Linked DNA regions of Canis lupus familiaris. The main gene of each other region encodes a partner of the protein of the gene in region 2 in a complex. Links are inferred from orthologs where the notes say so. Each region holds a gene or a part of one and is shown on either strand. Other genes may lie near its edges.

Region 1 (3,067 bases), on a different chromosome or scaffold from region 2:
CTGTGTGTCTCCAATCGATAAATAAAATCTTAAAAAAAAGAAAGAAGGAAATGCAAGTTCAGGGGCCTGTGCTTGAGGGCCTGACTCTGGCCATAAAATCATATATGGGTTAAAAAAAAAAAAAAAAAAAAAAAATCATATATGGGTTACCAGATTCAAAATGGTAGAAGCACGGATGCCTGGGTGGCTCAGTGGTTGAGCGTCTGCCTTTGGCTCAGGCAGTGAGCCCGGGGTCCTGGGATCCAGTCCCACACTGGGCTCTGTGCAGGGGGCCTGCTTCTCCCTCTGCCTATATGTATCTCTGTGTGTCTCTCATGAATAAATAAATAAAATCTTTTTTATAAAAATGGTAGAAGAGAAGACAAAAATAAAACCACTACCTATCAGCCTTTTACCCACCCCTCACATCAAGACATGAAGGAACAGAATCAATCTTTTGCTTAATTTTAAGTGAGTAAAGATCTTTATGCCCTTGGACAAAAAGGAAATTCACTTCTTTACTAGAATGACACTACAAACAGACTTTTGCACCAAAATAATCAAAGCATTACCCATCAAGACACAGGAAAAAAAAAAAGAATGCAGAGACTTATGGATACTTGCTTCTCTTGAACTTTAGTAGAAGTAGGGCTGCTTCTCACAATGCTCCTGAAAATACTTATGCAACAGGATGCTCAGGAGTTTGGGGACCTGTCCCACCAGTCTTCAAGAACTCCTCAAGTTGTTTCATCTTCTCAGCTGGATAAGGAAAAATGCTTTCTGTTCCAAACTACTCCATCACTGAGGGGAGTAGGGGAGGAGGGAAGATGCTAGCAGCATCACTTCTCAGGTGGGGGCTCTGAACAATCTGGAAATAGTGGTGAAACCAAGCTGAGGGGGCATGGGCAGTGACGACAGGCCTGAATGTATTCAATTTCCGTTTACTTTCCCAAGGTCCTACTTGGACTCCTCTCTACAAAGGGATGCCCAGGGGTTGCATATAGAACACTGCAGTTAGGAAACTGCAAAAAGTTTTGTTAAGTAATAAAGGTTGGAAGAAAGCCTGGTACCGCCAGGTGGTTCACCGGGGGCTCCCTCCACATGCAGGCTTTTAGAGACCCTCACCTCTGGCACGATGTTTCCGGTGCCAAGATGCCAGGCTCAGGAGCACGCTCTTCACCCGATTTTGTACACGGGGCCATCCGAAGATACTGATTTCAACTAAGTCTCCAGAGTTAACTACGTCCACCGTCAGCAGGACTTGGCTCATCCACTCTATTTCTGGAATTATGGCTCGGTCTGGGCCTAAACAGGAAAAGAGAGACTCTGAAGGGAAACATGGTCGGGGGGCAGCCCGGGTGGCTCAGCGGTTTGGCGCCTGCCTTTGGCCCAGGGCGTGATCCTCGATCCGGGGATCGAGTCCCACGTCGGGCTCCCTGCATGGAGCCTGCTTCTCCCTCTGCCTCTGTGTGTGTGTGTGTGTGTGTGTGTGTGTGTGTGTGTCTCATGAATAAATAAATAAAATCCTTAAAAAAAAGAAACATGGTCGAAGGTGAGTAGGAGCTAGGTTTGAAGGGAATGTTGGCCGGGGAAGGAAGGTCGGCATCGTGGAGTCTAACGTGGCCTGCAAATCCGGCAGAGACCGTAGAGTTGCTCCGCGGGGTCTCTCACCGAAGATGGCGTCAGCCAGCCACGCCTCCAGGTAAAACACCAGTGGGTCTCTCAGCTCCTGCACTGGAAACCACCAAGGCCGGGTGCGAATCCGCGGTGGTGGAAGTGGTGCCCGGAGCAGCCTGTCCAGGGACCAGGCGGGCCTCCATTCGTCCCCCAAAACTTCAGCAGCACCCGCGTCGTCGACCATGCTAGGTCCGGCAGCCCGGGAAGAGAAGGGTCCAGACAGCGCCGCCGGAACACCAGGGAGGCACGAAAGCTGTGCCCCCTTTTACGGTTTCCGGCCAGCCCCGCCTCTTCCTGTGGCCCCGCGGGCGGTTCCGGGTGAACGGAACCCCGTTCGCTTCCGCGGCAGTGGCGGGCGGGGCGCCGGGGAGCCAGCCCCCACCCCCGCCCCGGGGCTTCCTCCTGGTTCTGGAACCTGCGTGCGTGTGAGCTTGCTTGAGCCGTCCCTCAGAGGCTACCTGGGGTCGTCTCCAGGTAGGTGAGTGAGACATCACCTGGCCTCAAAGAGCCCTGCCCAGCGCAGAGCTGATTGACAGCGCGGCTTGACTCGGAGGCCTCGTGACCCGGAATCACTTTTCGTGCCTACCTTACGGCTTCTGCTTCACCTTCCAGAGGTGGGTGGGCAGGTGGATCAGGCGGAGGGCAGGCTCGTCGGGTCTACATTTTCTCCCTTCTCCTCCCTGTTGTCTCCCAACAATGTGTTTGGTTACTACTTCAAAATCATTCAAGCAAACGTGTCGTGTTTTGAAATAGAAATGTCAGAGGTGGAACATGTAGGAACTATAGACCGATTCCGTTGTCTTCAACATCCTAAATCAGCTAGTGTTGATGTACATTTCTGCCCAGTATTTTTAATTTTATTTATTTTTTAAAATATTTTATTTGGGATCCCTGGGTGGCGCAGCGGTTTGGCGCCTGCCTTTGGCCCAGGGCGCGATCCTGGAGACCCGGGATCGAATCCCACATCGGGCTCCCGGTGCATGGAGCCTGCTTCTCTCTGCCTATGTCTCTGCCTCTCTCTCTCTCTCTCTCTCCGTGACTATCATAAATAAATAAAATAAAAAAAAATTAAAAAAAATATTTTATTTATTTGAGATAGAGAGCAAGTGAGAGAGAGAGAGACCATGAGCAGGGGGGAGGAGAAGAGAAAGGGAGAAGCCGACTCCCCACTGAGCAGGGAGCCTGCTGGGGGCTCCATCCCACGACCCTGGAACCGTGACCTGAGCTGAAGACAGACGCTTAACCAACTGAGCCACCCAGGGGCCCCTCAGTGTTCTTAATTTTAGTCAAAAATTTAAATTATGACAGATTTCACACATTCAAAAAGTTATATAACAAATACGTATGTAACAATCCCCACCACCATCCCCATTTGACAAGAAGCTAACATTTTCCCACCTTTGCCTCACCT
Region 2 (4,317 bases):
CTGCTCCAGCCACACTGGCCTCCTTGCCCATTCCTCCAACAGACCAAGGCCAGTCCTGCCCCAGGGCCTTTGCACAGGCTGTGCGCCTCTGCTCGGAATCCCCTTCCCCACTCTCTCTGGGATGGCAGGACCTCCTTATCTTCCACATCTCCCTGTGAACACCACTTCTTCCAAGAAGCCCTTCCTGACTAGCTTAGCTCAGTATCTGTATCACTCCATCCCATTATCTTCTGTTTCCTTTATAGTGGTTACGATTTGTGATCTGCTTTCTTATCTCTCTCCTCGCCCTGGGGGTGCCCTGTCCAAGGAGCTAGCCACTAGTCAAGTGTGGCTATTTAAATTTAATCAAGTTAAAAATTCAGTTCCTGGGGCACCTGGGGAGCTTAGTCAGTTAAGCATCTGCCTTCGGCTCAGGTCATGATCTCAGGGTCTGGCTTCTCCCTCTCACCTCTGCTTGTGCTCTCTTTCCCTTGCTCTTTCTCGAATAAATAAGTAAAATCTTAAAAAAAAAAAAAGTCAGTCTTTACAAGTTCTCAACAGCCACAAGCAGCCAGTGGGTGTCATATTGGGTACTGTTGGTATAGAACATTCCCATCGTTGCGGAAGGTTCTAGAAGACCAGCACCACACCAGCGCATATACTCCTCATGAGCAGGGGCTCCCGTTACCTATCCCTCAATGATGAGTGGCCAAAGAAACCCTTCCTTTAAATATGGAATGTCTAACTTTGGCAGCGAGGTGTGCACACATGAGGAAAAACGCTCCTGGAGAAGCTGGCCTGCACGGGTGACCTTGCTCGCCCCAAGGAAGCAGAAGCAAGTGGAGGAGACCGTGTCCCCAAGCCCGGCTCCTGGGGGCTGCCCGGGGTGGCTCACCGTGTGGTACATGCTGTCCACCTGCGCTGCCAGGTGAGGGGATAACCTGTGGGGGGGGGGGGGAAGCAACCGAAGAAGAGCCCTCAAGACCCCTCCGCAGAACTAGAGCCAGAACTGCCCCACCCAGGCCTGGCCCCTGCGCACCCCCCTCCAAGGAGCCACCCCAAGGCGGCATCAGAGATGCCGTTTCCCTGCAATGTTTTTAAACCTATAATCGGTGCAAAAAAATTCATGCTAAACAACACAAGGACAACCAGAAAATTCAAATGAAGGCCCGGATTGGTAATGGTGCTTCTTTCCTTTTGCTTCAGGCTCCAATAAGGCTCTTTGTTACCAAGTTCCGTCATTTGGACCAAGGGCTGCTGGGCCACCCAGAGACCAGGTGGGAGTCTCTCCCCCTCCACGTGGGCCCCTGAGAGCCACCCTCACCTGGGGAACTGCTCTCGGAGCTGACCCAGGACACTGTGGTAGTTCAGTTCAGGAGCCTGGGAAGGTCAGAGGAGGCTGTATAGATGAACCCCCGCCTCCCGCTCTCCCACCCTCAGGCCACATTTCCAATCAGCCCCCCAGAGGGTGGGCTGGGACCCGCCTAAAACCTGCAGGGAGGGGCACCTGGGGGGCTCAGTCAGGAGAGCATCGTGATCTCGGGATCCAGCCCCACGTGGGCTCCCTGCTCAGCGGGGAGTCAGCTTCTCTCTCTGCCCCTCCTCCCACTTGTGCTCTCTGCTCTCTTTCAAATAAATAAAATCGTAAAAAGCAAAAACCCAAACCTGAAGGGAATTTGCTTTCTCTGGTTACTTAAGTCCCCACGGAGTTTCTCCCGTTTTGCCTCTTGGCCTAAAGTCTCAAATACAGACTCTCTGGAGAGCCCTCGAGAGAGAAAGGTCGCCCACCCCGGCCTCAACTACTGTAAAGGGTCCTCTCTGGAGGAGGAGGGGCTTCTGTTCCCAAAGTATTAACCAGAGACGACGTAGGCATGTGTTTGATCACCTGCGTGATGAGAAGCAGGTTCAATTTAAAAAGAAAGTGGCCTGGCACCTGTCAGCAGGTATGATGGGCCAGCGGCCCCAGCCAAAGGCCTGGCCACCCGCCCGTGTCCCTCCCTCAGGAGCAGGAGAGTGAGGTCTGAGCTGAGCCCCCTTCCCTCGCAGTTAATATTCTCCTCACCAAAGTTCCTGGGGGCCTCCTCATCCTTGGAGGGTGCTGCTGGCGGCTGAGACGGTCCCAAGACGTCATCTTCGGGCAGTAGCCAAAGGACTTTAGCCTGGAACTCCCAAGGGGAGATGGCAGGTCCCTGAGGGCAGAAGGCCGGGCAGCCAGGGGCAGAACCGACCCCACCCCACCCTTGGCCTCCCCTGCAGGCCCCAGGCCTGGATCCCAAGCCCCCTCCCTGATTTCCGGCCCCCCACTGCATGCCCTATACCCTTTGTTCATTTGTCAAACTCTGCTGCCTCCACCAGCCCCAACTCATAGGAGCGTCATTCCAGGAGGTGGACGTTGACGGTGCCAAACACTTACACTCCCTGCCAGGAGCTGTCACCGCTGGGGACCCCGGGGAAGGACGCTAAAACTCAGCCTCAGTGTTGAGACAACTTCCCAGAGCCTGGGTAAACATCATTGGGAAAGGGTTTTGAGGGATGAGTAAGAGTCGGCCAGGTGAACTAGGAGGGATTTCTCAGACAGGAGGAAAGAGACCTCTCTCCACCCCAGGCACTCCTCCGGCCCTAAGCCCCTTCTTTGCTTGGCTTCTGGCCCTCAGCGGCGTCCGGGCCTCCTCCCCGGGCCCGAGGGCGCGGAGGTCCTCCCGGAGGCCCGCCCGCCTACTCCCCCCTCCCCCGCCAGGATAGAGGCCCAGTACCCCGGGACGAAACTGCGGGGGGTCAACCAAGTTCAGGCCCGGAGAGAACGCCCCTCCGCGTCTCCCCTCCTCCCGGGGCCCTTTGACCCGGCCCGCCCCGCCCCGGCCCCGCCCAGGCCCGCCCAGGCCCCGCCCCCGCCCGCCCCGGCCCCGCCCCGCCCGCCGCCACCTGCACCACGAGGACGATCAATGAAGGAGCAGCCGCTGCACGTGGGCTCGGACTCCGCGGGCGGCCGCTGCAGGCTCTGGCCAATCGCGAGGCCGCCTGCCCACGTGGGCCGCGGCCGCTCGCGCTGATTGGTCGGCTCCCCCCAGCCGCCGGCCCGGCTGTCAATCAGCGCTCCCGGCGCCTCGGCTTAACCCTTGCGCTACAGCTGTGGGGAAGGGCGGCGTGCAGAGCCGCGGGCGGTTTGGGGTCCCGGCGGGGGCGAGGATATTTAAGGAGGGCGTGGGGCTTGGGGTCACAGGGCGCAACCCCGGAAGGGGCTGGGCGGTGTGAGGTTGCATTGTTTGGTGAAAAGCCTGATCAGTTTTGGCGACGCCCCGGAGTGGTTTAGGGTGAGAGGTGGTGCTGGGAGAGGGGACCCGAATCCTTCCCCTTCATCCCAATTCCCGGATAGGGGCTGATAACATTTTCCTCGATATGAATGACGGGCAGTGCAAGCGAAGCTTCAAGCCCCCTTAATGGGGAAAACAGCTCCCCTTCATCCAGCACCCAGTCCTGGGCTCTGAATTTTTGTCGTGAATTTTTCCCAACTGTTCCCCAAGCCCAGGATCTGAGAACCAAAAGCAGGGGCTGCAGAGGCCTTGAAACTGGTACAACTTTTCCAGCTTCAAGGCCAGGGTAGGAAGGGGTGGTGGTGGGCATTCCAGGCCTGGGATGATAGAAAGATAAGGGATGAGGGCGGTAGGGGGGTGTCTAGGGATTCTAGAGTTGTTCTCTGGCCCGGTTTGCAATGCTTACTGGAGGTGTGCTGTGGTCCTGCCCACCCCAGGACCTTTGCACTAACCATTTCCTCCTCCACGGGGACTAGTCTCCCCCTGACAGTCATGACCGTGCTCCCTCCTTGAGCAGTCTACCCCGAGGTCACCACCTCCCCAGGTCTCCCCTCACATCTCTTTTAAAAATGAACTTCCAACACCACCCCCACCCTCCCTTTATTTCATTTTTCTCCAAATGTGGTTTGAGTTGGCACTAATCTCGTGGTAATCTCAGTGGCTGTAAGTCCTGCTGTGTTCAAAATTCAGGTAACTGCTGATGGGATTCTCAGACATTCTCGCACGGGCCACGGGGCGCCCGCCTGCCCCTGCCCGGGTGGGTATGCTGGCTTGGGATCCAGGGGAGTGCGAGAACACTCCGCTGGCCCCTCTTCTGTGCTTTGTCTGGGGTAGGGGCACCCTGGGGTTCAGATCTCGGGATGCACAGTCCCCCCTGGAGGTTGTAATGTAAACACACAACTTGGGTTTTGTGGCTGGCGTATGGAGGGGAAGTGAGGGCTGCCATGTGTGAGCCGCAAAAAAGGTTTTCGCCCATGATCCCTCCACTGGCCCTTAATTGAAGTGTATTTTATTTATGGGCCAGCCT

What was found. The genes of interacting proteins can lie anywhere in the genome.
Region 1: the proteins of TLE6 (region 2) and OOEP are in contact, whole or in part, in a cryo-EM structure (PDB 8H94), measured with the Mus musculus proteins. The link is inferred for Canis lupus familiaris from reciprocal best matches to the Homo sapiens genes TLE6 and OOEP. Residues at the interface, in NP_444484.1 of Mus musculus: Trp256, Ser258, Phe304, Thr305, Arg306, His307, Val318, Asn320, Val322, Asn323, Glu332, Ser333, Asn354, Ser355, Arg356, Leu373, Ala374, Ala375, Pro376, Ser377, Leu378; in NP_080756.1 of Mus musculus: Arg32, Pro33, Trp34, Trp35, Pro37, Gln39, Glu40, Glu67, Trp70, Met71, Gln73, Gln94, Pro95.

The regions. Positions count from the first base shown.
Region 1 is NC_049233.1:35,686,872-35,689,938, forward strand, and holds OOEP (oocyte-expressed protein), read right to left. Parts: upstream 1,895-3,067; 5' UTR 1,841-1,894; coding exon 1,651-1,840; intron 1,285-1,650; coding exon 1,105-1,284; intron 739-1,104; coding exon 659-738; 3' UTR 600-658; downstream 1-599. UniProt on the Homo sapiens protein: Component of the subcortical maternal complex (SCMC), a multiprotein complex that plays a key role in early embryonic development.
Region 2 is NC_049241.1:56,637,389-56,641,705, forward strand, and holds the start of TLE6 (transducin-like enhancer protein 6), read right to left. Parts: upstream 2,925-4,317; 5' UTR 2,902-2,924; intron 2,847-2,901; exon of another isoform or gene 2,733-2,846; intron 2,695-2,732; exon of another isoform or gene 2,570-2,694; intron 2,478-2,569; 5' UTR 2,393-2,477; intron 2,169-2,392; exon of another isoform or gene 2,139-2,168; 5' UTR 2,111-2,138; coding exon 2,042-2,110; intron 1,360-2,041; coding exon 1,304-1,359; intron 921-1,303; coding exon 875-920; intron 1-874. UniProt on the Homo sapiens protein: Component of the subcortical maternal complex (SCMC), a multiprotein complex that plays a key role in early embryonic development.